Linked DNA regions of Oryctolagus cuniculus. The protein of the gene in region 1 interacts with the protein of each later gene in a pairwise test. Links are inferred from orthologs where the notes say so. Each region holds a gene or a part of one and is shown in the gene's direction. Other genes may lie near its edges.

What was found. The genes of interacting proteins can lie anywhere in the genome.
Region 2: the proteins of TFG (region 1) and CSTF2 interact in binary tests that used the Homo sapiens proteins (3 or more experiments, as listed by UniProt). The two-hybrid records come from large-scale screens. The link is inferred for Oryctolagus cuniculus from reciprocal best matches to the Homo sapiens genes TFG and CSTF2.
Region 3: the proteins of TFG (region 1) and MAGED1 interact in binary tests that used the Homo sapiens proteins (3 or more experiments, as listed by UniProt). The two-hybrid records come from large-scale screens. The link is inferred for Oryctolagus cuniculus from reciprocal best matches to the Homo sapiens genes TFG and MAGED1.
Region 4: the proteins of TFG (region 1) and ANXA11 interact in binary tests that used the Homo sapiens proteins (3 or more experiments, as listed by UniProt). The two-hybrid records come from large-scale screens. The link is inferred for Oryctolagus cuniculus from reciprocal best matches to the Homo sapiens genes TFG and ANXA11.

The regions. Positions count from the first base shown.
Region 1 is NC_091435.1:55,272,612-55,278,826, forward strand, and holds part of TFG (protein TFG), read left to right. Parts: intron 1-4,513; 5' UTR 4,514-4,556; coding exon 4,557-4,740; intron 4,741-6,215. UniProt on the Homo sapiens protein: Plays a role in the normal dynamic function of the endoplasmic reticulum (ER) and its associated microtubules. Required for secretory cargo traffic from the endoplasmic reticulum to the Golgi apparatus.
Region 2 is NC_091453.1:91,869,331-91,875,545, reverse strand, and holds part of CSTF2 (cleavage stimulation factor subunit 2), read left to right. Parts: intron 1-667; coding exon 668-727; intron 728-1,387; coding exon 1,388-1,529; intron 1,530-2,158; coding exon 2,159-2,334; intron 2,335-2,566; coding exon 2,567-2,856; intron 2,857-6,215. UniProt on the Homo sapiens protein: One of the multiple factors required for polyadenylation and 3'-end cleavage of mammalian pre-mRNAs. This subunit is directly involved in the binding to pre-mRNAs.
Region 3 is NC_091453.1:36,322,689-36,328,903, forward strand, and holds part of MAGED1 (melanoma-associated antigen D1), read left to right. Parts: intron 1-1,557; exon of another isoform or gene 1,558-1,741; intron 1,742-1,937; exon of another isoform or gene 1,938-2,171; intron 2,172-2,738; coding exon 2,739-2,812; intron 2,813-3,493; coding exon 3,494-4,216; intron 4,217-4,873; coding exon 4,874-5,542; intron 5,543-5,652; coding exon 5,653-5,716; intron 5,717-6,155; coding exon 6,156-6,215. UniProt on the Homo sapiens protein: Involved in the apoptotic response after nerve growth factor (NGF) binding in neuronal cells. Inhibits cell cycle progression, and facilitates NGFR-mediated apoptosis. May act as a regulator of the function of DLX family members.
Region 4 is NC_091446.1:70,268,118-70,274,332, forward strand, and holds the end of ANXA11 (annexin A11), read left to right. Parts: intron 1-987; exon of another isoform or gene 988-1,085; coding exon 1,086-1,181; exon of another isoform or gene 1,182-1,400; intron 1,401-1,625; coding exon 1,626-1,684; intron 1,685-1,800; coding exon 1,801-1,923; intron 1,924-3,523; coding exon 3,524-3,583; 3' UTR 3,584-4,250; downstream 4,251-6,215. UniProt on the Homo sapiens protein: Binds specifically to calcyclin in a calcium-dependent manner. Required for midbody formation and completion of the terminal phase of cytokinesis.

The DNA.
Region 1 (6,215 bases):
CTCTCAAAGGGAAAATTTTTGTTTTGTGACACTAATGTGTTTGTCTTAAGGTGATGACTACAGACTTCCTTGAGAAGGAAGCTTGGTTCTTTTTTAAAAAATATTTATTTATTTGAAGGCAGAGTTATAGAGGCAGAGAGAGAAAGAGGCAGAAAGAGAAAGAGAGGTCTTCCATCCCCTGGTTCACTTCCCAGGTGGCCGCTCCTGCCATAGCTGCACCAATCCAAAGCCAGGACTTCTTAAGGGTCTCTCACACAGGTGCAGGAGTCAAAGCACTTGGGCCGCCTTCTGTTTTCCCAGGGCATAGCAGAGAGCTGGATCAGAAGTGGAGTAGCCAGGACTTGGACCGGCGCCCATATGAGATGCCAGCACTGCAGGCGGTGGCTTTACCCGCTATGCCACAGCACTGGCCCCGGAAGCTTAGTTCTTGGCTGCAGGGTGTTTACAATCAATGGGAAGCATTGAAAGTGAATTTACAGGCAAACATGGTGGTTGGAAACTATACACAACTTAAAAGTTTGTAGATCTATTGGAACTGAGCAACACCCTCCCCCATCGAAAGGGCATACTGTCAATTATGTTTTGTGTTGGAATTTACTCTTAATAAGTAGTGTAGGGACCAGAGCTGTGGCATAGTGGGTAAAGCTGCCACCTGCAGTGCCGGCATCCCTTATCGGTGCCAGTTTGTGTCCTGGCCACTCCACTTCTGATCCAGCTCTGCTATTGCCTGGCACAGCTCTGGCTATTGTGGCCAATTGGGGAGTGAATCAGCAGATGAAAGATTGATTTTTCTCTCTCCTCTCTCTCTCTCTCTTTCTTTCTGCCTCTCCTTTTGTGTAACTCTGACTTTTAAATAAATAAATTAAAAAAAAGTAGTGTAGCTGATGTGCAGAGTCAATTTTTAAGATTTGATTTTTACTTATTTGAAAGGGGGGAGTCTTCTGCAAAGACGAGGTACTGAAGTGAAAGTCTGACTTGAGAACTGACCTGCTATTACAGCCTACCAATCCCTTTATCAGAACTTTGTTATGCCTCATTTTTTTGTGCAGGGAACAAAAACAGTTCTTTAAATTCCTTTCGTATGTCAGGCTGTGTTCTAGGTGCTGCTGGGAATAGGTAATACCATCTTACACTGGTCCTTTTAGGCATTGTTGCTGGTTTATACGTTCTGTAGGTAAGAGAAGGCAACAAATACATTTATTTATTGAAAGGACTTTATCATGGTCTCAGGCTGCCAATGCAGACAAGATGGGATATTTGCCGTCTTGTTGAAGTAACTATAGAGCTCAGCTCATAGTAGATATTCAGCACGTTTTCTCCTGAATGTGGCGGTCAGGTTTGACTCATAGGTTAAGAGGTAGTTCATAGAGGTTTTAGTTTAATTACAATCATCATGAGTAATCCACTGTGAGAATTGGCCGATAAAAAGGCTGACTTTCTCTTTTGCATTAAGATAAATGTGGCATCTATCCAGATAGTGGAGCAGAGTCTATTGTATTCTGAATTGACTTTAGAGTGATATTTTTAATGTCCTGCTTCATTAAAGATTTATTAATAAGATGTAATCTGTCTAGAGGGCGGTGGGGGAGTCTAGAGACGTTCATGTAAGGCAGGGTTGGGGAACCTTTTTTCTGCCAAGGGCCATTTGGATATTTATAACATCATTTGCAGGCCATACAGAATTATTCACCTAAAAATTAACCTGTTACAGATTTACTAAGTTTCGAGTCCCACCTGCAGCTGCCTTCTTGGCAGGGCCAGACCAAATGATTTCGTTGCCCTTATGCTGCCTGTGGGCCAGCTGTTCCCCACCCCTAATTTAAGGAATAGTTAGATCAAAAGACATGGGACGTTTAAATACTAAAACATTTATATTGAATATTCATGAGATAATTTAGGATTCATGGAAACTTTTTTCAACTATTGGAAGAGTTGATTGGTTGGAAAGCAGCTTTCATACATAAACACACCAAGGACATGGGAATGGTTGCAAAGAGGTTTGTTGGTGTTAATGAAATGATACATTTAAGAGGAGGAAACAAAATGGTGCCAGTAGTAAAGCATGACATTGGGAGTAGAATGGAGCCCTTTAGAGGCGGTTGTCACCTTAAACAGCCTTGAGAGATCATTTACTTTGGGGGTGGGGGAGGAGTTGTGTTAAGGAAATGCTCAGTGATTATAGATAACACATCAGGAACATCTTGGCCTTGAGAAGAGATATTAGCCTTTAGTAATCATTTAAATTACAAGAGAACTTGAATATAAGATTATAAAATAATTTCAGATGATTACACTGGATAACCCCAAAATAAGATTAAAGCCCAAAAGGGAAAATCTCTGTGGCAAATTATTATTTAGTGGCTAATTCTCTGATACTGTCTTTTGTCTTTAAAGTATGCAGTCTGATCATAAACACTCACTCTATAAGGTAGGGTTATGGACTGTGTAGCACCGTAGCTGGCAGTCTCATTAGAAAGGGAAGGGTGTGTGTTTGGCACAGCAGTTAAGATGCCACTTAGGAGACTCGCATCCTATATCAGAGTTCCTGGGCTTGCATCCCACCTCTGCGTCTGATCCGGCTTCCAGATATTGTATATCCTGTAAGGCAGCAGGTAATGGCCTCAAGTTCTTGGATCCTTGCCACCTAATGTGGGGACCTGGGTTGTGTTCTAGCTCCTGGCTTCAGCCTGGCCCAGCCCCATCTACTGTGGGCATTTGGTGGAGTGAACCAGCAGATGGGAGTTAACTATCTTGTTTTTCTCTCTGCCTTTCAAAAGAATAAAAATAAATAAAAAGAAAGCTTAGCAGGTATCACTGATTTGTTCTTTCTCAAAATACTTAAGAGATCTTTCTTATATTGGAAAATTTGAGGCTCTGTTGTAGTGTTCACTTTTTTGTGGGTTAACATTTAGATATTTAAGTTAATAGAAGTTTGAAGCTAATTGTTTCTCTCTTTAAGAATTGTGGGATGATTATCATGTGTTGGGCACTGTTTGCTTCCTACCTTTGAGTAGAAAGAACAGTGAAAATTAATAAATTTTTAATTTCTGATAGTACTGCTAAGTGCTTGGAACAAAACGAAACCAAGATGGTAAGAGGAGCCTTTAAAAAATATTTGAAGACAGATGGATAACTCCTGTCTGCTAGTTCACTTTCCAGATGTCTGCATCTTCTGGGGATGGACCAGACTGAAGAGCTGGAAACCCAATCCAGGTCTCCCATGTGGGTTACAGGGACACAGCCACTTGAGCCATCACTTGCTACTGCCCAGAGTGCACATTAGCAGGAAACTGGAATCAGGAATGGAACTTGGACTTGAACCCAGGCACTCTGATATGGGAAGGTTGACATTCAATTGCTAGACCAAATGCCTGCCCTGGGGGATTCATTTTATTTTTAAATGTTTTTTTTATTTTAAATTTAAAATTTTTTTTATAAAGAGAGAGAATGATCTTCCATTTGCTCGTTTAGTCACCAAATGTCTGTATCGCTGGTGCTGGTCCAGGCCAAAGCAAGGAGCTGGAAACTTAGTCCTTGTCTCTTCTTGTGGGTGGCAGGGACTCAAGTACTTGAACCATCATCTGCCTCTGAGGCTCATTAGTGGGAAGCTTGATTAGAAGCAGAGTAGCAGGGCTTGAGCCAGGTACTCCAATATGGGACACAGGTATCCTAAGCAGCAATTTAACACATGTCGTGCGTGCCCTGTTTTAAATTAGATGGTTAGGGAAGACTTCTGAGAAATTGACATTTGATCAGGAACATGATTCATTTGAGTTGTATGAAAAGGATCAAGGCATGCGGAGTAGGAAGTGTATAGCTTCAAGTTGAGAAAAGAGCTTGAAGTATGAATGTGGTGGGGATGAGTAGTAGGGCCAGGTAGGAAGTGAGGAATATATTGGAAGGTTTTGAGCTGAGCAACATTAGATTTTAACAGGATAAATAACATGATAAATCTGATGTGCTAAGAATAGGTTGTGAAAGTAGGCAAAGATAAAAAGCAGGCAGACCAGTTAGAAGTCTTTTGTAATCATTTAGGTAGGTGGTGATAGTGACTTGGATCAGCTTGATAGTGATTGAGGTGGTTGGGTTCTGGAGATAGCTTAAAGCTAAGTTTGAAGGTCAAGGATGTGAGAAAAAGAGAGGAACCGTGTGTGTGTGTGTGTGTGTGTGTGTGTGTGTTTCTTTTTGGTCTTGAACAACTGGAAGAAAGGACTTGTCACCAAATGAATTAGGGAAGACTTTGGGAGATGCAGTTTTAGTAGAAGATCAGGAACTTGTTTGTAGACATGTTAGAAATCTGCATGGTAATGTGAAGTTAGCAGTTAAACATGTAGATAAGATAGTAGTAGATATAAAATACATAATAAAGTTGCCTCTAGACCATTTTAACATGAAGATGGTCATGAGCAATGAGTCTCTTTAAAGAGCCAGCATTTCTTAGATTCCAACAATAAATGTGCTTTCAGATTTTAAGATGTTTTATTGTTTTATTAAATAAGAGTCTTTTTATCAGTTTTTCTCTAGACTAATATAAATAGAACATCCTGGAATCCACCATGAATGGACAGTTGGACCTAAGCGGAAAGCTAATCATCAAAGCTCAACTTGGGGAGGATATTCGACGAATTCCCATTCATAATGAAGATATTACTTATGATGAATTAGTGCTAATGATGCAACGAGTTTTCCGAGGAAAACTTCTGAGTAATGATGAAGTTACAATAAAGTATAAAGATGAAGGTAAAGTATTTTTAAACCTGGTTTGTAAGAGTTAACACATAGTATGTGTTTTTTTTTTTTTTTTTTTTTTTTTTTTGCCTATAGTCATTGGACTCTGTCTTCCCCCTTCATGGTATTTGAGTGGCCCCCTTCTTTTATTTATTTAATGGGATGTTCAGATCATTAGTATAATTATTTATAAGTTAATATACTTTTTTACAAGTATTTTTCCCTTTGTTTACCCATACTCTTCTGGCTTCCATTTTGCTTTTTTTTTCTTAAGTAAAATATTTATATAAAGGGGATAGATTTATCTATTTTATATATGCAGTTTTTTTTTTTTTTTTTTTTTTTTTGACAGGCAGAGTGGACAGTGAGAGAGAGAGACAGAGAGAGAAAGGTCTTCCTTTTGCCGCTGGTTCACCCTCCAATGGCCGCCGCTGCAGCCGGCGCACCGCGCTGATCCTGGCAGGAGCCAGGAGCCAGGTGCTTTTCCTGGTCTCCCATGGGGTGCAGGGCCCAAGCACCTGGGCCATCCTCCACTGCACTCCCTGGCCATAGCAGAGAGCTGGCCTGGAAGAGGGGCAACCGGGACAGAATCCGGCGCCCCAACCGGGACTAGAACCCGGTGTGCCGGCGCCGCAAGGTGGAGGATTAGCCTATTGAGCCACGGCGCCGGCTTATATATGCAGTTTTAAGAGCATAATGATACCTCCCATCCTACCCTCTTTTCCTCCCTTGCTATGACTCTCTCCTTCTTTGTTTTTTCCTTTTAATTTTTGCAGTGACATGCTTTCAATTTACTTTATTTATTTATTTATTTTTGACAGGAAGAGTGGACAGTGAGAGAGAGAGAGACAGAGAGAAAGGTCTTCCTTTGCCGTTGGTTCACCCTCCAATGGCCGCCGCAGCCTACGCGCTGTGGCCGGCGTACTGTGCTGATCCGATGGCAGGAGCCAGGTACTTATCCTGGTCTCCCATGGGGTGCAGGGCCCAAGGACTTGGGCCATCCTCCACTGCACTCCCTGGCCACAGCAGAGAGCTGGCCTGGAAGAGAGGCAACCGGGACAGAATCCAGTGCCCCGACCGGGACTAGAACCCGGTGTGCCGGCGCCGCAAGGCGGAGGATTAGCCTAGTGAGCCGTGAAGCCGGCCTTCAATTTACTTTATAATAACAAGCTTAATCCTCCACTAAATAAATAATTCAACAAGTAGTAAGGAGAAAAACACTGTTTCTTAGGAATATAGACAGGAGCTACAAACAATCACCAAATCTCAAAATGTCATTTTCACTTATATACATTACATTCTTTTTGTCCTCTATAAGTTAACACAAATCAGAGAAAATAAATGATATTTGTCTTTGGGACTAGGTTATTTCACTGAGTATAATGGTCTCCAGTTACATCCATTTTATTGTGAAAGGCAAGATTTTATCCTTTTCTTGGCTGAGTAGTAGTCCCTCGTGTATATATATCACATTTCCATGTGTATTT
Region 2 (6,215 bases), on another chromosome or scaffold:
GGGGGTGCCCTTACTGCGTTAGCCTTTGTTTGCTGTGGTCGCGATGTGTATTATCAAAGATTGGCTGTGGCAGAGTATTTCTTGTGGATTGTTGATATCTGAAGGTCATTACTGCATTTCCCCTTTCGATACTTTTTGATAACAAATTTTTATGTTTTAAAGTGTAACAAAATAGCCTTATCCTACTTCTGTTATGGCCTCTCCAGAATAAATCTCACCTTCCAGATTCAGTGTAATTTCTTTCATGCTTTACTTCTGAAAATATGTTCTTTCCTTAACTAGAGATTCAAAATCATCCTCCTTACATTTTTTCTGTATTTGTGTGTATGTGTATGTTTTAGTAGTATCACCAGAACATTTAAGGGAAGACATACAAATAGGGGTGAAAATGGAGATTGGCTGGTTATTCCTGCCAGATAACCCCAGTGTCCCGCAGGTTTCCCTTTAGAAGCTGTCTGGTGAACGCGAAACTCTTTCAGATACCCAAAGAAGCTAGTGTAGTTTGGGAAGATTTTATAGCTGTGTGGGCAAGCTAATCACCCCTTGGCTTGTTAACATACCTGTGTAAATCTGCAGTTTCCGTGTGTGTGTGTGTGTGTCTGTGTGTCTGTGTGCAAGCTATTTTAAGTGTCTACTCTTTCTCCTTTTAAACTTACTGCTCACCTAGGAACCCTACAGCACTCGCCTGTGGGACCCGCCGGGCCTGCCTCAATTGAACGAGTTCAAGGTACCCATTGTATCTGTGGGTTTCCTTTTGCTTGTGGTGTTCAGGGTGGGGTGATGAGAGGAAAAGAGCTGCTTGGCAGTCATCCTCATGTTCAGAACCCAAAAGGGTAGTATTTTTGGGTTTTTGGTGTTTTTTTTTTTCTTAATTTTTTTTTCCTGTTGAGGCCACAAGCCTAAGATTGACCTCTTCACACAGGGCAGAGAACATGGATGATATGGGCATCTGTCCGAGGCTGTACTCCCTCCCTACTGGTGTCAGGAGGCTTGGATGGAATAGCAGTCTGTAAGGAGACAGCAGGTTCTTGCAGAGCCATGGCAGTATTAACATAGGCCAAGACCCTACCTCTCTTTTGTGACTCTGGTCCTTGAACTTAAGATTGATTAGAAGGAAACCAAGGAGCATAAGGTTCTTCAGGTCACAGTGCTAGTCCTTGGCAGGTTGCTCCCCAGTTTGCTGTGTATACAATTCCATCCATACCTCTGACGTGGCACAGATTCTGCCTACACCCTGCTTCTGTTCTTGAGCTGCAAGAGGATTCTGCTGTGGTGAGGTGTCACCCACTCTAAGGTGTCTGAATTACATTGTCAGTGGTATCAGAGTCGTTTCTTGTTTCCTTATGTGTCCTTCACAGCAGTAACTCCCCATTTGTTTCCCTGTCAGTGCCGATGCAAGACCCCAGAGCAGCTCTACAGCGGGGCTCTTTGCCTGCCAACGTCCCAACTCCTCGAGGTCTCTTAGGAGATGCTCCAAATGACCCACGGGGAGGCACTTTACTTTCTGTAACTGGAGACGTAGAGCCTAGGTAAGTACTAACATAGAAGGAAACGGTTGGAGAATTCAGGATTTTCCTTTGTCTTGAGAACAAAGTCTTTCTGTACAAGTTGTACCTATTTGCCTACTTCAAAAGATAAAGGAAAAGTCCATGGTCCCTGTCCAAGCATTTCTCTTAAGGCAGAACATGTAGTTGTGTGTCCTCTCAAGCTAATCATGCCTATTAAATATATTTTCAGAAGTTGGCAATTCTAGTATACATACCTAAACAGGGAAAACTTGTGGTAATAATAGTATCAATAATAGTACTAACTGACATTAATAGGGATCATATTTCTGACTCTGCTCTGAGAAGTTTTATTAGATCATCTCATTAAATCCACAGAATGACCCTATAAGATGGATAGTATTAGTTCTGTTTTACAGATAAGCTGAGGGTGGCATAGAGAAGTTAAGCAAATGTGCCCAAGATCACACAGCTAACAAGTGATGGAACCTAGATTTGAACCCATATAGTCTGAATTCAAAACCCATGTTCTTCTTCATGTAATGACTGTCCATTAATTCTTCTCTAGTTATGAGTACCACTAATTATCAAATTCTGGAATAAGTGGATTTATGTCTCTACAGCTTTTATGTAATATTTCTTTCAATCTCTAGAGGTTACCTGGGACCACCTCATCAGGGTCCACCCATGCACCACGTCCCTGGTCATGAAAGCCGTGGCCCACCCCCACATGAGATGAGAGGAGGGCCACTAGCTGAACCTAGACCTCTAATGGCAGAGCCAAGAGGACCCATGCTAGATCAGAGGGGTCCACCTTTGGATGGCAGAGGTAAGGAGAGACCACATCACGAAGCTAACTGGTACTCTTGGGTTGATAATGAACCCAGCTGTCTTTGACTCTAACCTGGGATAAAGAATGCTGGCAGAGGGAGCACTGGGGTCATCAAGCATCTTTAAGGTTTATCTGCAAATCTGAGAAACTGGGGAAAAGACAACAATATCATAGTTGGGGGAATTTTACTAGAGGAATAGAGTTCTGTTACTGACAAATTTCTTTACAGGTGGACGAGATCCACGAGGCATAGATGCACGAAGTATGGAGGCCCGAGCCATGGAGGCAAGAGGATTAGATGCACGAAGTATGGAGGCCAGAGCAATGGAAGCCCGTGCCATGGAGGCCCGTGCCATGGAGGCCCGTGCCATGGAGGTCCGTGCTATGGAAGTCCGAGGAATGGAGGCTAGAGGCATGGACACCAGGGGCCCAGTGCCCGGACCTAGAGGACCTCTGCCTAGTGGAATGCCAGGTCCCGCTCCAATGAATATGGCGGTTGGTCCCCAGGGAGCCAGACAGGTATGTGTAATGCTCACTTCTAACAGCTATGTGAAATCTTGATCTATACCACAATTGGTTATTGAGCCTGATTATTACTGCCTTGTGACTTGAACTGTTTCTAAGCTTGCTAGAAAGGGAATGGTGGGCCGGCGCCGCGGCTCAATAGGCTAATCCTCTGCCTGCGGCACCGGCACACCGGATTCTAGTCCCGGTCGGGGCGCCAGATTCTGTCCCGGTTGCCCCTCTTCCAGGCCAGCTCTTTGCTGTGGCCTGGGAGTGCAGTGGAGGATAACCCAAGTGCTTGGGCCCTGCACCCACATGGGAGACCAGGAGAAGCACCTGGCTCCTGCCTTCGGATCAGCGTGGTGTGCCAGCCACAGCGCGCCGGCCACAGCAGCCATTGGAGGGTGAACCAACGGTAAAGGAAGACCTTTCTCTTTGTCTCTCTCTCTCACTGTCCACTCTTCCTGTCAAAAAAAAAGAAAGAAAAAGAGAATGGTGGAATCTCCCTTTATTTTCTGTGTCCCTTACGATAGTAATTTTTCTGGCCACTAGGATTGAAAACCCAAAGAACAACTTTGTCTTACAATATCAGTAGCTATTTGCATTCAGAGCAGAGCCCTTGGAAATTTAGTGGTTATGGGATATTCTTCACTGGGGTGCAAACCAATGTCGTATACAAGGCTTCTTCAAAATAGACTTGCCTGAATCTCACTGCAGGCCCATCAGAATCTATCAGTAGGATCTGGTGCGTGGATGGTTTCAGAAACCTCCCCCAAATGATTCTTTTATTTATTTATTTATTTATTGACAGGCAGAGTGGACAGTGAGAGAGAGAGACAGAGAGAAAGGTCTTCCTTTGCCGTTGGTTCACCCTCCAGTGGCCGCCGCGGCCGGCGCGCTGCAGCTGGCACACCGCGCTGATCCAAAGGCAGGAGCCAGGTGCTTCTCCTGGTCTCCCATGGGGTGCAGGGCCCAAGCACTTGGGCCATCCTCCACTGCACTCCCAGACCACAGCAGAGAGCTGGCCTGGAAGAGGGGCAACCAGGACAGAATCCGGCGCCCCGACTGGGACTAGAACCTGGTGTGCTGGCACCACAGGCGGAGGATTAGCCTATTGAGCTGCGGCGCCGGCCCCCCAAATGATTCTAATGTGCAGCCCTAAGAACCCCTAGGTTAGAGTGTCTAAAGAGCTGTTTGTGGTCATTTAGATAATTGTAGGATTACAGAAATGTGTTATTAATTTATTGTCTTACATAGCCTTAGTGAACAGTAGAGTGCGAAAGACAGTTTCCTAATGATTACCCAAAAAGCTGCGGAAGTGAAGTCTTACCTCTTCTCTCTCTTTTTGGCTCTCCCAAGCTATGTGTCTATGGTAGTCTCTGGTTGCCATCTTTCCTATCTTTATCCCCTGTTGGCTGTGGGAAGGTAGTATGTGTGTATCTTCCCTGAGTTTTTATGTGCTGGCACATTCTTTTCCCTTCAGCCTCTTCTGTTTCCTTTTTCTCCTTCCTCTGTGTAATTGTCTCTTCTTTCATGTGGTTTTTTAAAAGATTTATTTATTTGAAAGTCAGAGTTATACAGAGAGAGGAGAGAGAGGTCTTCCATCCACTGGTTCACTCCCCAATTGGCTGCAACAGCCGGAGAAGGGCTGATCTGAAGCCAAGAGCCAGGAGTTTCCTCCAGGTCTCCCAGGCAGGTGCAGGGGCCCAAGCACTTGGGCCATCTTCTACTGCTTTCCCAGGCTACAACAGAGAGCTGGATTGGAAGTGGAGCAGCCGGGACTTGAACCGGCTCCCATATGGGATGCCGGCACCACAGGCAGCAGCTTTACCTGGCCCCTCATATCTTTTTTATGTCTTCCTTCCTGTGTGTGTGTGAGCAAGAGGAGAGAATGTCAAAGCAGGAATGGAACATGTCAGTCATCCAGTCCCCTCATTTTTTAGGCTTGGAAACTTAGACCCAAGAATCAGGTGACTTGGTCAAATTCACATACCTAAAAAGTACAGGGCAAGAAATAGAACCCACTATTTTTTCACTGCTACTCTGTCCTGTTACTTGCACATTTGTGGGGGAGGGGGGGGTCAGTATGTGTCCACCTACTTCTTGAAATAAAAATACTTTTTTTCTGGTATATATAGAATAAAATTATTCTTTACTTTTTAAGTATTATTATTTCAAAAATGTGTTCATGGGCCTTGATTTTTATTGTTCCTCTGTGGTCAGTAACTTCATAATAGAATTTTTTGTATTCAGCAAATACTTATTTAGCATATACTATATACCAAACACAGATCTAGATACTGGAGGTACAGCAGTGTGAACAGTACAGTCTCTGTTCCAATGGGGATTGCATTCTAGTGGAATTCTGCTGACAATTCTGTGAAGAAAGACACTGAAAATAATGATTGGAAGACCATTTCTGGATAATATCTTGCTTCATTTTCTCTGCTAGTCCTTGAATTCATTACTCATTACCATTAGATTTATGTAGTTTTCATTAGCAGAATCTATAAAGCCAATTAGATCTGAGGTGGAGAAAACAAAAATTTTTATCTTAAAATTTTTTTTAAATTTCTTAATTAATTTATAAATAAGTGAGTATACCTTCATCTAGAAGACATACATATTAAGAACCTTACTATCTTGTACCTTTCTACACTGTGACCCCCCCAGCTCCTGTAGATAATTGCCTTTATTAGAATTTTTGTGTGTCTTTCTAACAAATATGAGTGTATTTTCCCCTTTCAGTGTCCTATACCTTATTTTTTTACTTAATAATGTGTCCTTCATAATTTTATTTATCTTTTTAATTGACACACAAAAATTGTACATATTTGTAGAGTACCATGTGATGTTTGGTACATCATACATGTATAATGCTCAAATCAGAATAAACCTCTGTCTTCTCCTTACCATTTCTTATTTACTAATTTTTAATCAGGTTTTAAAATTGACTCCAGTCCTGCCAGTTGTAAACATGTAGGTAAAAGGCTTATTGTTACTAGGGTGATTCTGTAATTTGTCAGCCAAAGACAGACATGTTGGAGAGTACTGTTAATAATTTACTCTGGGCAAAAGCAGAAACTGGGACTGCCTCAGGTGAACCAAAATGTATGATCACTCTTGCTTGTACTTACAAGTATAGAACAGGTACTTCTAGAAACAAAATGGCCTTTTTTTGAGTGGCTAGATCACATTGTAATATTTCAAATGATTATTAGTAAGCATTAGTAAGCTTCAAAAATATTATAGGTATTTCAGATCCTTAACAGTACAAGAATTCAGTGCAGCTTCTGGATTCAATATTGATTTAAAAAATAAGAAGAGTGGCCGGCACCGCGGCTCACTAGGCTAATCCTCCGCTTTGCGGCGCC
Region 3 (6,215 bases), on another chromosome or scaffold:
AACTAAAGGAGGTGGTGGGGAGGAGAACATATTTGAAGGGATCAGTTAAACTGGAGGATACTAAGAGATACCCAATTGGAGAATGAAAGCAGACAGTTGGATTATGGATCTAGAATTCAAGGGCCAGTCAGGACTGGAGATGGAGCTATGGAAGCAGATAGCAACAACATGGTGTTTCAGACCGCCTTTCCTGAGTCTGATCACGTCCCACTGCAGACACTTTACAGAGGAAGTGCTGAGGAAAAACAGGCAGCTGACAGGGGAGGTTGCTATGCAACAGATGAGGAAAGTCATCCAGCCAAGCAGAACTGATGTTGGCCCTTGGGGACCAAGTGCTGCAGTCCTTCCTGGTATTAGCTTCCTTTCATATGCAGGCTCCTGGCAGGACCTCATATAAGAAGGAATGCGAAATGCACAAAGATCTGCTTTGAGTTTTTGGAAAAGTATCAGTTTAGTTTGAGCCTCCTCACATCTGTATATGATTTTCTGACTTTTTTTTTTTTAGTTTCTCCAATTCTGGAAGCAGTGGAGCATGTGTGCCCTTGGGTAGGACACACATACTATGCTTTCTGTTCTGCATATTGAGAAAACAAGCTCAGAGAGATCGAGTGTCTTGAGTGAGCTCACGCTAGTGACACACAGGCTGGGCACTCTGTTCTTGGGATTTTGAAATCAGTCCAGCCTCTTTCCTCAATACCACAGTTGCTCCAGATCCCAAACCTCAGCCAAGGAAGGAAGTAGGGCAAACATTGACTCTGAACCAGAGTTTGCCATGGTTCAGACACACAAGTGCCTGGTTGTCTTGGCCATTTAAACAGGCACCAAGAAAATCTTGGGGACAACATCATTGTGTCACTCAGAGGAAAGAGTCCTGTGTGACATTGGGAGCTGAGAGTGGGCCCCGAGGAACAATTCCTTGGGCTGGGGGCTTTATCCTGTGCCCTCCTGAATGCAGAACATGAGCTTAGGCCTCCTAGAAAACAAAGTTTGCTTTTTTGGGACAGATGTTAGGGTTAGGGGAGGCCAGGGGCTGAAGTGGAGGAATGAAAAGTGCATAATTTGGGCTTTGGAGTTATGAAAGCCCAGGCCCAAAGTTTGCATTTTCTGTTTTCTGGTGCCTCTCTGGCCTTCTCTAGTTTGAGCAATGTATCTGCACCTCAACTTCTTGGTCTTTGAAATGGGGGTGCTGACACGCACCTTCTAGGGCTGCTCTAAGAAGAAAATAAGCCTCAGCATAGATCTTGCTGTGATGTAAGTGGGTTCTGCAATAAAGTTCATGGGAATGCAAAGTATGGGAAACCTGCATGTATTTCAAAAAATACGTTGGCACCAAAATAAGCTTATCTTTCAATTTTGTTTGTTACGAACTTTTTGGAAGTCGCCTTGTACAAGCTGTGTCCTTCTCTCCCACAATGCACACAACATGATTACATTGACTGGAGCTTCAGAAAAGGGCTGCAGGCAAGGAGCTAATCTGAGTCTGGAAGCCAGTGAGGGGTGCATGTGGTCACGTGGCAGGCACAGACTCCAATAGTGTGTATTTTCTGGCCATTTCCTTCCCTGGGTTGCAAAGCAGATGAGTTCAGCAGGGGCCTAGCACTTGTTGCAATTAGAGATTCTCCACAGACACTTCCTTAATAGTGACCTAAACTGTGCTGGGAAGGGGGTGGAACTGCAGGCCGACCTGATGGGAGGTGCCTTGAATAGAGGAGGGATTGAACAGAGACGCATTGCGGAAAAGGTAGGGGGCCGGTGTACGGGGCAAGGGGTGGGACCAAGAGGCATGGCGCTTCTGTTGGGGGAGGGGATGTGGAGGAAGAGGAGGAACCGTTGTATACTGTCGACCTGGTTGGTGGTGGGATGGTGTGTTGGCAAAGGGGGCGGGGCCGCGTTCCAATGCGCATGTGTGTCCTGCTCTCCCGGACGAAGCTTTTGTTGGGAAAGTGGGCGGGTTTGTAGTTGGTCGCCCAGTCGTGGCGCATGCGCGTAACCTCCTGAGGTAGTGGGTGGTATATTAGGCGAAGAGGCGGGGTCGCCCAAGCTGCCGCGCTGGCATTTTCTCCTAGACAAGGAGAGAGTGCGGCTGCTGAGAGCCAAGCGCAGCAATCCTGATCCTCTCAGTCGTGAAGAAGGGAGGCAACGAGGGGGTTGGGGTTGGGGCCTGAGGCAAGGTGAGAGCTAGCTCCCAGAGAGGGCGTCTGTCCCCCGGTGCGGGTCTCTCCCCCATTTATCCCCATCCCTTAACCCCGTGTTTCTGAATCCCCCCTTCCACTGCCGGAACCCCGATTTACACCCCCCACCCGATCCTTTCTGATTCAGAGCCGCTGTGTGCTCTCTGAACCCTTGACCAATTCCTCTCAGAGGTCCTCACAGAGTCCTTAACGATTTCTTGACTGACCCGTACTGTTCGGAGATTCTTCCTGACTGAAAAATCTCCATTCAACTTCCCGAACGCGAATCCCACCACGCCCCACCCTCGGGTTCAGAACTCTGATCTGTCTCCCGAGCCCTGATTTGAAGCTTTTGCCCTGTTAGTTGCTTCTCGGAATTCAGAATCTCCATCTGGACGCCCGTTCACGTGTCCCGCTCCGCTCTGGTCCGTTCCTCCTCAGACCCAGCACCTCAGCCACTTCACAACCAAACGGCACACCCCTGCCCCCTCCCCTTCCGCTCCGATCTGGCTCTTCGTATTTTGCCCTGTGTAGTATAACGCCCAGCTCCTTTCCCTCAACCCCCAGGCTCTGCTCTTGCCAGAGGGACAGGAGCCATGGCTCAGAAAATGGACTGTGGTGCAGGCCTCCTCGGCTTCCAGGTGAGATCTCCGCTCCTCACCCCAGCATTTCCCCTCCGACACTCCCCTCCCCCCCAGCCCCTTTCATCAGCCCAACACCTGGATCTGATTTGGCCCTCTTCCGTGCCTAGACTTTGCCATTTTTCAAATTTGCGGCATTTATCTAAGGGGAAAGAAGCATCCCTTTTCAGCCATCAGTCCCTGCTTAGAGAAAGGGGAGACCCTGTTAGTAGTCGGGGCAATCTGCCCAGAGAATGCGGGCTGGGTAAAGGAACCATTTTCTTTTCCATAGGCCTGGAGTGCAGAGCAGTCTGTCACCCCCTCCCCCAGCCTCCCACCTCCACCCTCCCTCTGTCCCGCATTCCTGACTTGCTGCGACCCCCCCCCCTTACTCTCCTCAACTCCTTGCTCCGCCTCCTAAACTGAGCTCCTGCTGCACTCCCTACCAGCTCCGCTCCAACCCCACTGATTCAGACCTTGCTTGCTTTTGTGCCCACTCCTCACATTGCTCTAATTGTCATTTTGCCCCTGCCCTGCACCAGTCCACCACATGTTTTGTACTCACGCTGCCTCCCTTTGCCCACTGCCTGCTCCCTGGGTTCCTGCCATAGCCCTGTTTTTGCAACAACCATCCTCCTGCACCTTCCCAGCTGTTCCCAACCTGAGCCCCAGAGATTAAATTTGTTTTTCCTGTGTTTGCAGACGGAGGCCTCTGTAGAAGACAGCACTTTGCTTATGCAGACCTTGATGGAGGCGATCCAGATCTCAGAGGCTCCACCTACCAACCAGGCCACAGCAGCTGCCAGCGGGCCAAATGCTAGTCCCCAGAGTTCACAGCCCCCTACTGCCAATGAGATCGCTGATATTCAGGTCTCAGCAGCTGCTGCTAGGCCTAAGACAGCCTTTAAAGTGCAGAGTGCCACCCCAAAGGGCCCAAGTGGTGTCTATGATTTCTCTCAGACACATAATGCCAAGGAGATGCCCAGTGCTCAGCCTAAGGCAGCCTTTAAGTCCCAGAATGGCACCCCAAAGGGCCCAAATGCTGCTTATGACTTTTCCCAGGCAGCGGCCACTGGGGAGTTAGCTGCTAACAAGTCTGAGATGGCCTTTAAGGCCCAGAATGCCACTACTAAGGTAGGCCCAAATGCTACTTACAATTTCTCTCAGTCTTTCAATGTCAATGAGATGGCCAATAACCGACCTAAGACAGCCTTCAAGGCTTGGAATGATACTACTAAGGTCCCAACAGCTGACAGCCAGACCCAGAATGTAAACCAGGCCAAAATGGCCAATTCCCAGGCAGACATAGAGACCAACCCAGGTATCACTGAATCTGATGGTGCAGCTGCACAGACATCAGCAGATGGACCCCAGGCTCAGAATCTGGAGTCCCGGACTATAATACGGGGCAAGAGGACCCGCAAGGTGAGATCCCCACTAGCGTCACTTTGCTTTGGGCTCTCTCCTTTCTTCTCTGAAATTGTTCACTTGTTCTAAAATATATATATATATATTTATCAATAGATATAGATCTGCCTTGTTTAGCTAAGCTGTAGATAATGTTGAAGTGAATTTTTTTTCTGTCCTCTGAGTGTCCATAGACTGATGGGGAGTTAACATATGGAAGCAAATATCAAACTTGTATGTAATTCAGTTTACATTTGGATAGTAACCACCATGTATCAAATCTTGAGCTAGTTCACACAAGTTATCTTATTAAATTTTGAAGTCAGCTCTTACCAGTTGGGGACCATAGTCTTAGTTTTACAAAGAAGGAAACTCAGTCCCAGAGAAGTGAAGTGACTTGAGTGATTTGTTCAGGGTGGTACAAGCAGAGCGAGTGGTGGACATAGGAAGAGAAGAAGCCTCAGGCCCCACCCCTGGGTTGCTCCTGGCCTGGTTCGGAGATGCAACTCCTGCTTGGAAGACAGTGAAAGACAAGCCCAGGACTCAGGGTGACCAGTGGCTAGTGGGTCAGGCTGTCGTTACAGGTGAGGGTTTAGGGGGATTTCCTGAAATAGATAGGGTGAGGACACAGAATCAATTTGTGACCCTGGACTTTCCTTCTCTCTGATAATGCAGATTAATAACTTGAATGTGGAAGAAAACAGCAGTGGCGATCAGAGACGGGCCCCGCTGTCTGCAGGGACCTGGAGGTCTGCACCGGTTCCAGTAACCACTCAGAACCCACCTGGCGCACCACCCAATGTGCTCTGGCAGACCCCACTGGCTTGGCAGAACCCATCAGGCTGGCAAAACCAGACAACCAGGCAGACCGCACCAGCACGTCAGAGCCCCCCAGCTAGGCAGACCCCACCAGCCTGGCAGAGTCCAGTTGCTTGGCAGAACCCGGTGATCTGGCCAAACCCAGTGATCTGGCAGAATCCTGTGATCTGGCCGAACCCCATTGTCTGGCCTGGCCCAGTTGTCTGGCCAAACCCACTGGCCTGGCAGAATCCACCTGGATGGCAGACCCCACCTGGATGGCAGACCTCACCGGGATGGCAGGGCCCTCCAGACTGGCAAGGCCCTCCTGACTGGCCACTGCCTCCCGATTGGCCACTTCCCACCGATTGGCCTCTCCCACCTGACTGGCCACTTCCACCTGACTGGATCCCTGCTGATTGGCCAATTCCTCCTGACTGGCAGAACCTGAGACCCTCGCCTAACCTGCGCCCCTCTCCCAACTCGCGTGCCTCACAGAACCCGGGTGCCTCCCAGCCCCGTGATGTGGCCCTTCTTCAGGAAAGAGTAAGAGCTCTTCCTCCCCACTCACTTCTTTCTTTTACTCTTTGTCATCTTCCCATCTATAATTCAACCGGGTTTTCTTCAAATGTAACTAGTGATTTCTTTTCTCCCAGGCAAATAAATTGGTCAAGTACTTGATGCTCAAAGACTACACAAAGGTGCCCATCAAGCGCTCAGGTAGGCTTGTTGTCCCCCTCACACTGAGCTCTGCCCTTCCTTTCACCCGATGCTCTATGGCAGGGGTGAGGAACGTCCAGCCCATGGGCCATATAAAGCTTGAGAGATCATTTGATCTGACCCTGCCAAGGCAATCACAGGTGGAACTCAAAATTCAATAAGTCTATAGCAGGCCAATTTTTAGGTTGATAATTCTGTATGGCCTGCGAATGATGTGATAGATATACAAATGACCCTTGGCAGAAAAATGGTTCCCCACCCCTGCTTCTTGGGCATGCCTTTGCTTATAAGCCTGTTCCCTTCTGTCCTCGGCTGTCCATGGCTGATTTTCCTTTTCCACCCTGAGGACCCTGGCTGTGCTACCCTCAGCAGGGCTGGCAAAGGGGCTGCTGCTCTGTGGCCCCTGTTCAGCCCAGATGCTCTCTCCTCTCTCCTACAGAAATGTTGAGGGATATCATTCGTGAATACACTGATGTTTATCCAGAAATCATTGAACGTG
Region 4 (6,215 bases), on another chromosome or scaffold:
GTGGCACCTTAACCACTGTGCCCAATCCTGTCCCTAAGTGGTGTTGTAGAATGTATTTTATTGACAGAAATATATACACACACACAGAGGCAGAGAGCGCGCCCCTGTGTGCTGGTTCACTTTCCAAATGTCTCGGGGCCAGGGAGTGGATCTGGGTCTCCCATGTAGGAAGCCGGACTCGAACCCAGGCACTCCGAGAGGCGCTGTGAGCATCCCAGCCAGTGCCTGCCCCGGGGCACACCTTTTAGCCCCCTCGCTGTGCTGTCAGCATTATTTGAACAAGACTGGGATGAAAGTAGTGCATTAAACCCATGGTGTCGCCCACGTGACTTAGCAGAGAAGCGTTGCTGACTTGAAGGAAATAGGGATGAGATGGCTACAAATGCAGTGGAAGTCACGAGGCTGCTATGCACGTGACCCGCGTCAGGGCTGGGGAAGGAGAGATTGGACCCAGAGTCCGCGCCCGTCAGGAGGCCCACCTGCACAGCAGGGGACTTAGCCGATCTGCCGGGGTGGAGCTGACCCGAAATAGCAGAGATGTGGGTGCACTGCCAGTGCTGGGGATTTGAGAAGGGAGGGGTGCTGCTGGGGTTGGGGTGGGAACAGGGGACCCTGTGAGGGCGATGATGGTGTGATGTGGGTGAGCCAAGTGAACAAGCACGCGGCCACCATGAGAACTGCAGGCGTGCTTGGTGGGGCCGTCCGGGGCTCCCGGAGAGGCCTCTGTGGGCAGCCAGGACCAGATACCATGGACGAGGTGGCTTCAGTGGCACGGCCTCCTCCCTCACAGCTGGGGGAGCCGAGGTGATGCCAAGGCGCCGGCAGGACGGCAGGACCGCTGCCTGCTGGGGCCTCTCTTCCTGGCTGCACACAGCTGCCCCCTGCTGCGTCCCCTCCTGCTCTGCCCCCTGGTTCCTCCGTGTGTCTCCTCCCCTTAGCCTGGCCGCCCTGCAGGCCCTGTCTTAACCGAATCACTGCTCCTGAGACCTTGTCTGCAGATCCGGTTGCGTCTCGGGCACTGGGGGTCGGAGCGTCTGTGCGCGCCGCGGCTGCGTCCCTGACCTGTCCTCCCATCTTCCCGCTAGTTTTCAACGAGTACCAGAGGATGACAGGCCGGGACATCGAGAAGAGTATCTGCCGGGAGATGTCTGGGGACCTGGAGCAGGGCATGCTGGCTGTGGGTAGGCGTCTTGTCTGTCTTCCGGGTGGGGGCCGGAGGCTCCCGCAGGGTCTCGGGACCTTGCTAAGTCCAGCGTCCAAGTGGCGGGGACTGCTCCGTGGGGCGCTGTGGCGCGGGATCCCCGGCTGTCCCGGGTAGGCTGCCTTGTTTGTCTCCAGCGCCGCTCTGGGGAAGGCAGCCGCAGCGTGGGCACCAGCGGGAGCCCATCCAGCCACTCTGTGGAGGAAGATGACTCACGTCCTGCCAAGTTCCCTCTAAAAATAACACCCCTGCAGGCAGTCGGGAGATATTTGTGATGGAAACACGGGGAAGATTTTTCCTTGCAGCCGCAAAGCAGGCTGGGCTCCCGGGACAAGGGTGTCTCCCCGCCACGGTTCCGAGGCCCCTGCATGCAGCCCCTCTGGGTCCCCTGCGGGCCTGGTGACGCTGTGCTCCTCTCTTGCAGTGAAGTGTCTCAAGAACACCCCGGCCTTCTTCGCTGAAAGACTCAACAGGGCCATGAGGGTACGTAAGGCCCGGGGTCACGCACTAAAGATGGAGGGCAAGGGGCAGAGCCAAAGCCACACCTGTGTGGGCCCCAGGGCCGGCGCTGCTCACGCTCTCTGGCCAACTCTCTCCAGGGAGCAGGGACCAAGGACCGGACCCTGATCCGCATCATGGTGTCCCGCAGTGAGATCGACCTCCTGGACATCAGGGCCGAGTACAAGCGGATGTACGGCAAGTCGCTGTACCACGACATCTCGGTATGGGTCCTCTTCCTCCCGGGGCCCTGGCCCTCCCCCTCTCCCCGCCACCCCGCTCCTCCGGGAAGGCCCACACGCTGGGCCTCTGTGCCACACGGCTTGCTCTCAGATGGTCTGAGGGTGGGTGGGATGGGCCCTGACCCTGCTGCCGGCCCCACGTGCATCTGCCAGCATCCAGGACACTGCTGCCCAGAAACTGGCTGGGGGCACCTTCCCAGGGGAGCAGAGACGACTCAGGACCTGACCTTGAGAGACCCCTCTCTGACCTGGGCTGGCCCTCATTCATCACTTGTCCCGCAGTTTTACTGCAGTTCAGAGCAAGGGCCCTGGGGTCGGTGTGACCTCAGGCAGTTTCCCTAAACCTCCTTGAACTCCATCCAGCTCCACTGTCTTTTTTTTTTTTTTCTTTTTTTAAAGATGTATTTATTTATTTATTTGAAAGTCAGAGTTACACAGAGAGAGGAGAGGCAGAGAGAGAGAGAGAGAGAGAGGTCTTCCCCAGATGGCTGCAATAGCCAGAGCTGTGCCAATCCAAAGCCAGGAGCTTCTTCCAGGACTCCCACACGGGTGCAGGGACCCAAGGACTTGGGCCATCTTCTGCTTTCCCAGGCCATAGCAGAGAGCTGGATTAGAAGTGAAGCAGCTGGAACTTCAGGCCAGGGCGTAAACCTGTTACGCCACAGCGCCAGGCTCCACCGTCTTTAAGACGAGGAGAAAAATGGGTCGTCCCTTACGAGGGTCGTGACCACTGGATGAGGCCCCTGTGTGCCAGGGCCAGGCTGGGTGGCCTGACAATGAAGTCCTGGCTCACCAGCACGGGGGCCTGATTTCAGACGCGCCAACGCTTGATGATGTTGACCACGTCAAGGAGAGAAGTGAAGAAGCCACAGGCCTTGTCCTCAAAGAGCTCAGTGTGGAAGGAAATGGTTAGAAGTTCGCTGAGCCTGGCCTGCCGCCCCCTTTCCCCTCCATCACACGCAGTGGGGGCAGGGAGGCCTGAGTGATGTCACCACCCTGCATTGACGGGACAGCCTCGCTGCAGCACAGCATAAACGTACTGGGAAGGGAACAGCGTTGGGTAGCCCTTGGCAGTATCTTTTAGGTTTTTTTGTTTGAAAGGCAGCATTACAGAAGCCAGGTTGTGGGGTGACACACAGAGATCTTCCATCCATTGGTTCAATTCCCAGATGGCTGCAATGGCTGGGCTGGGCAGGGCTGGAGCCAGGAGCCCAGGAGCCTATCTGGGTCTCCCATGTGGGTGCAGGGGCCCGAGCACTTGGGCCATCTTCTGCTGCTTTCCCAGGCCATTAAGAGGGAGCTGAATTGGAAGTGCAGCAGCCGGAACACAAACAGGTGCCCCATTATGGGATGCTGGTGCCTCAGGCCTCTTAGGTTGATTGTTGGATTCTCCTGTGGTTCTTTATTTGGCTTTGATTCCTGGGGGCTGGGGAGGCTGGGCTGTACTGTCTGTGGCCCACAGGACTAGCGGGTGGGACGTGTGCGTGGAAGGGCCTGCCTCTCCATGGGAGAAGAGTCAGGAGCCAGCAGGCCCAGTGGCCGTGCCTCCCTTAGCTGACGTCTTCCTTGTTTCTCTGACCAGGGAGACACTTCAGGGGATTACCGGAAGATTCTGCTGAAGATCTGTGGCGGCAATGACTGAGCGGTATCCCGGGGCTCACGGCTGCCCACCTGCCAGCCACAGCGAGGACAGGAAAAGGCCGCAAGAATGTCTCTTTCTAATGAATCCACCCAGCAGCCCCCAGGCGCGCCGTCCACAGAGCCCGAGCCGGGCACCCTGCTGAAGGGCCCGGCTCGGTCCACACTCTCAGGATGCCTCTCCCTCCCCACGTGGCCCCGCAGCCTCTCGCTGCTGGAGTAGATGTGTTCTTTGCTGACTCATGTAGTCATCTCCCGTGCTTGTGCCTGAGCCCCCGTGGCTTTTAGCGGCGAAAGATTCCGTTTCTGTCTGTCTGTCTGTCGTCACACACTCACACAGGTCTGTTTGCTGGGGGCACGTTTCTGGTGGTGGTGGTGGGGGGTGTCCTTTCCTCACAGAGGCGGAAAAGGGAGGACCAGTGAGGGTGATCTTTGTGTCTGGTGAGAATGTGTCATGAGCTTTGTTATTGCCAAACTCACTCCTTTTTAGAAAAAAAAAAGACCAGAAAGTCTTCTGTTGCATTTTCTATGTAACCACGAGGACAAAGCCAGTTCCCTGCCAGTGACGAGACTTCTTGTACTTTGGAATGTGCCTTAAACCTGAATGTCTCTAGCCAAAAACTCTTTTTCCAAATTAAAGTTAGCCAGTTCTGGGACGTTCTGTAAACGTCTCCCTGGTGCCAGCTTGTTTTCCTTTGCTTCACGGCTTCAGGGCTTCCAGCCTCATTAACCAGTGAGAATTCACATAACTTTAGGGAGCAAAGTTTACAGTAAGTGGCTACAAGGACACGGAAGGGAGGCTCCCCAAATGCATGCTGGGACCCGGGTCAGGTGCAGTGATGTCCCCTGGGGGCAGAAGGTGGTCTTTCACCCAGACCAGGAGAAGGGGCTGGGTGGAGAGGGTGTGTGTGACTCCTAGGGTGGAGTTTGCAGCTGGGGGCCCTAGAGGAGGGTGGAGACGCCCCAGAGGCGAGCGCCCAGTGCCTCCCCCAAGGTCGCCTCCGGTCTGAAGGCCCTGGCTCTGGTCCCCATGGTCGGGAGAGTGCAGCAGGGACAGAGTTTCTAGGGATCCCTGAGTGACAGGCAAATGCACAGCTTTTGCCCTGCACATCAGGGGTCTCTACTCACACACACCCTCTTGGCTCTTCTGCGTTGCAAGGTTTAGAAAGGAGAGAATCTGCCCAGGGTCCCGGGAGTGGCTTGTCTGTAGGGCAGGCATCTGCTGGGGGGGCGCTGTCTGACTCCTCGGGGCCCCTAAGGGCGAGAAGAGGGATGGACCCTGAGGGGCTGGAGCAGCTGGGAGCTGGGCACCAGACCTGTGCGGGCACTCGGGTGGAGGGCAGGTCCTGGTCGCCACGTCCGCCTCTGGGTGTCCGTGCCGAGAGCTTCCTGGGCTAGAACAGTCCTGCCCGAGGCCCCTCCCTGCTGATCTCCCGAGAAGGCCCTCCCCTAGGCAGGCCCTCACCTGGGTGCCTGATGGGACCTACCTGATGGAATGGACTGCTGGCCGTTGTCCAGCGTGCCATGAACCCAGGCTGACCGTGGTGGCCTGAGCGTGACAGGGCCTAGATGCTCTGACGTCACCGATTGTTCCGCCATGTTACTTTGCCATGTTGTCTGCACCAGTTCCCTCAACCCAGCGCCCAGCAGGCTTTATCAAGCCTGTAGGTAGATGCATTTACTTCGGTTTGCAAAAAGTTCTTTGCAGGGGCTGGCATTATGGCATAACAGGTTAAACCGCCCCCTGCAACGCCAGCATCCCATATGGGCATGGGTTCAAGTCCCGCCTGCTCCATTTCTGATTCAGCTCCCTGCTAATGCACTTGGGAAAGCAGCAGAAGATGGCCCAAGTGCTTGGGCCTCCATCATGCATATGGGAGACCCAGATGAAGCTCCTGGCTCCTGGCTTCAGCCTGGCCCAGCCCTGGCCTTTGCGGCTATTGGGGGAGTGAACCAAGGGATGGAAGATGTCTCTCTCTCTCTAACTCTGCCTTTCAAATAAATAAAATACTTTTTTTTATTTAAAAAAGAGTTCTTTGTAGAAACTTGAATATTTTGCCAACATTGAGAGATTTCATATTTAAAAAAAATCTGGAATTCTGGCTTCTCTGAAAAAAATAAATAGAAACTATGGCAACGCTAGGCATGCATCCCCACATGGCTGGAGCCGAGCCGCAGCCGCTGTTCAGGCTTGTACTCTCTGGTCGCCGCAGTCCCTGCCACTCCCTGTCGGGTTCCACCAGCCCCGGGCAGGTCGTGGAGACCTTCGCTCTGCGTCCTTGGGATCGCCTGTGTTCACCCCAGTCCTGGTTGCCCCTGACTTCCTGTCTCTCTGGCTGCCCTCTTGGTACACCCAGGGGTTCCAGCCCATGGGGAGCACAGGCAGGAGGACCCTGGGAACAACTCGTAGAGCTCTCGCTAGGCGCCAAGGTCACTGAGGGGCTGGGCTCAGCGCTGTTCACTACACGCAGGACAGGATAGGTGGGGAGGAAAGCAGGCAACCTTACAGGTCGTCTTTCTGGCCCGTGTAAGTGACCTCGGGTAGCAGCAGGGGCCTTGGCCCCTAGTGTGATCGCTACTTCTGAAATGGTAACTAGAGGATGGAATTCCAGCTGAATCCGGCCCTGAATGGATTT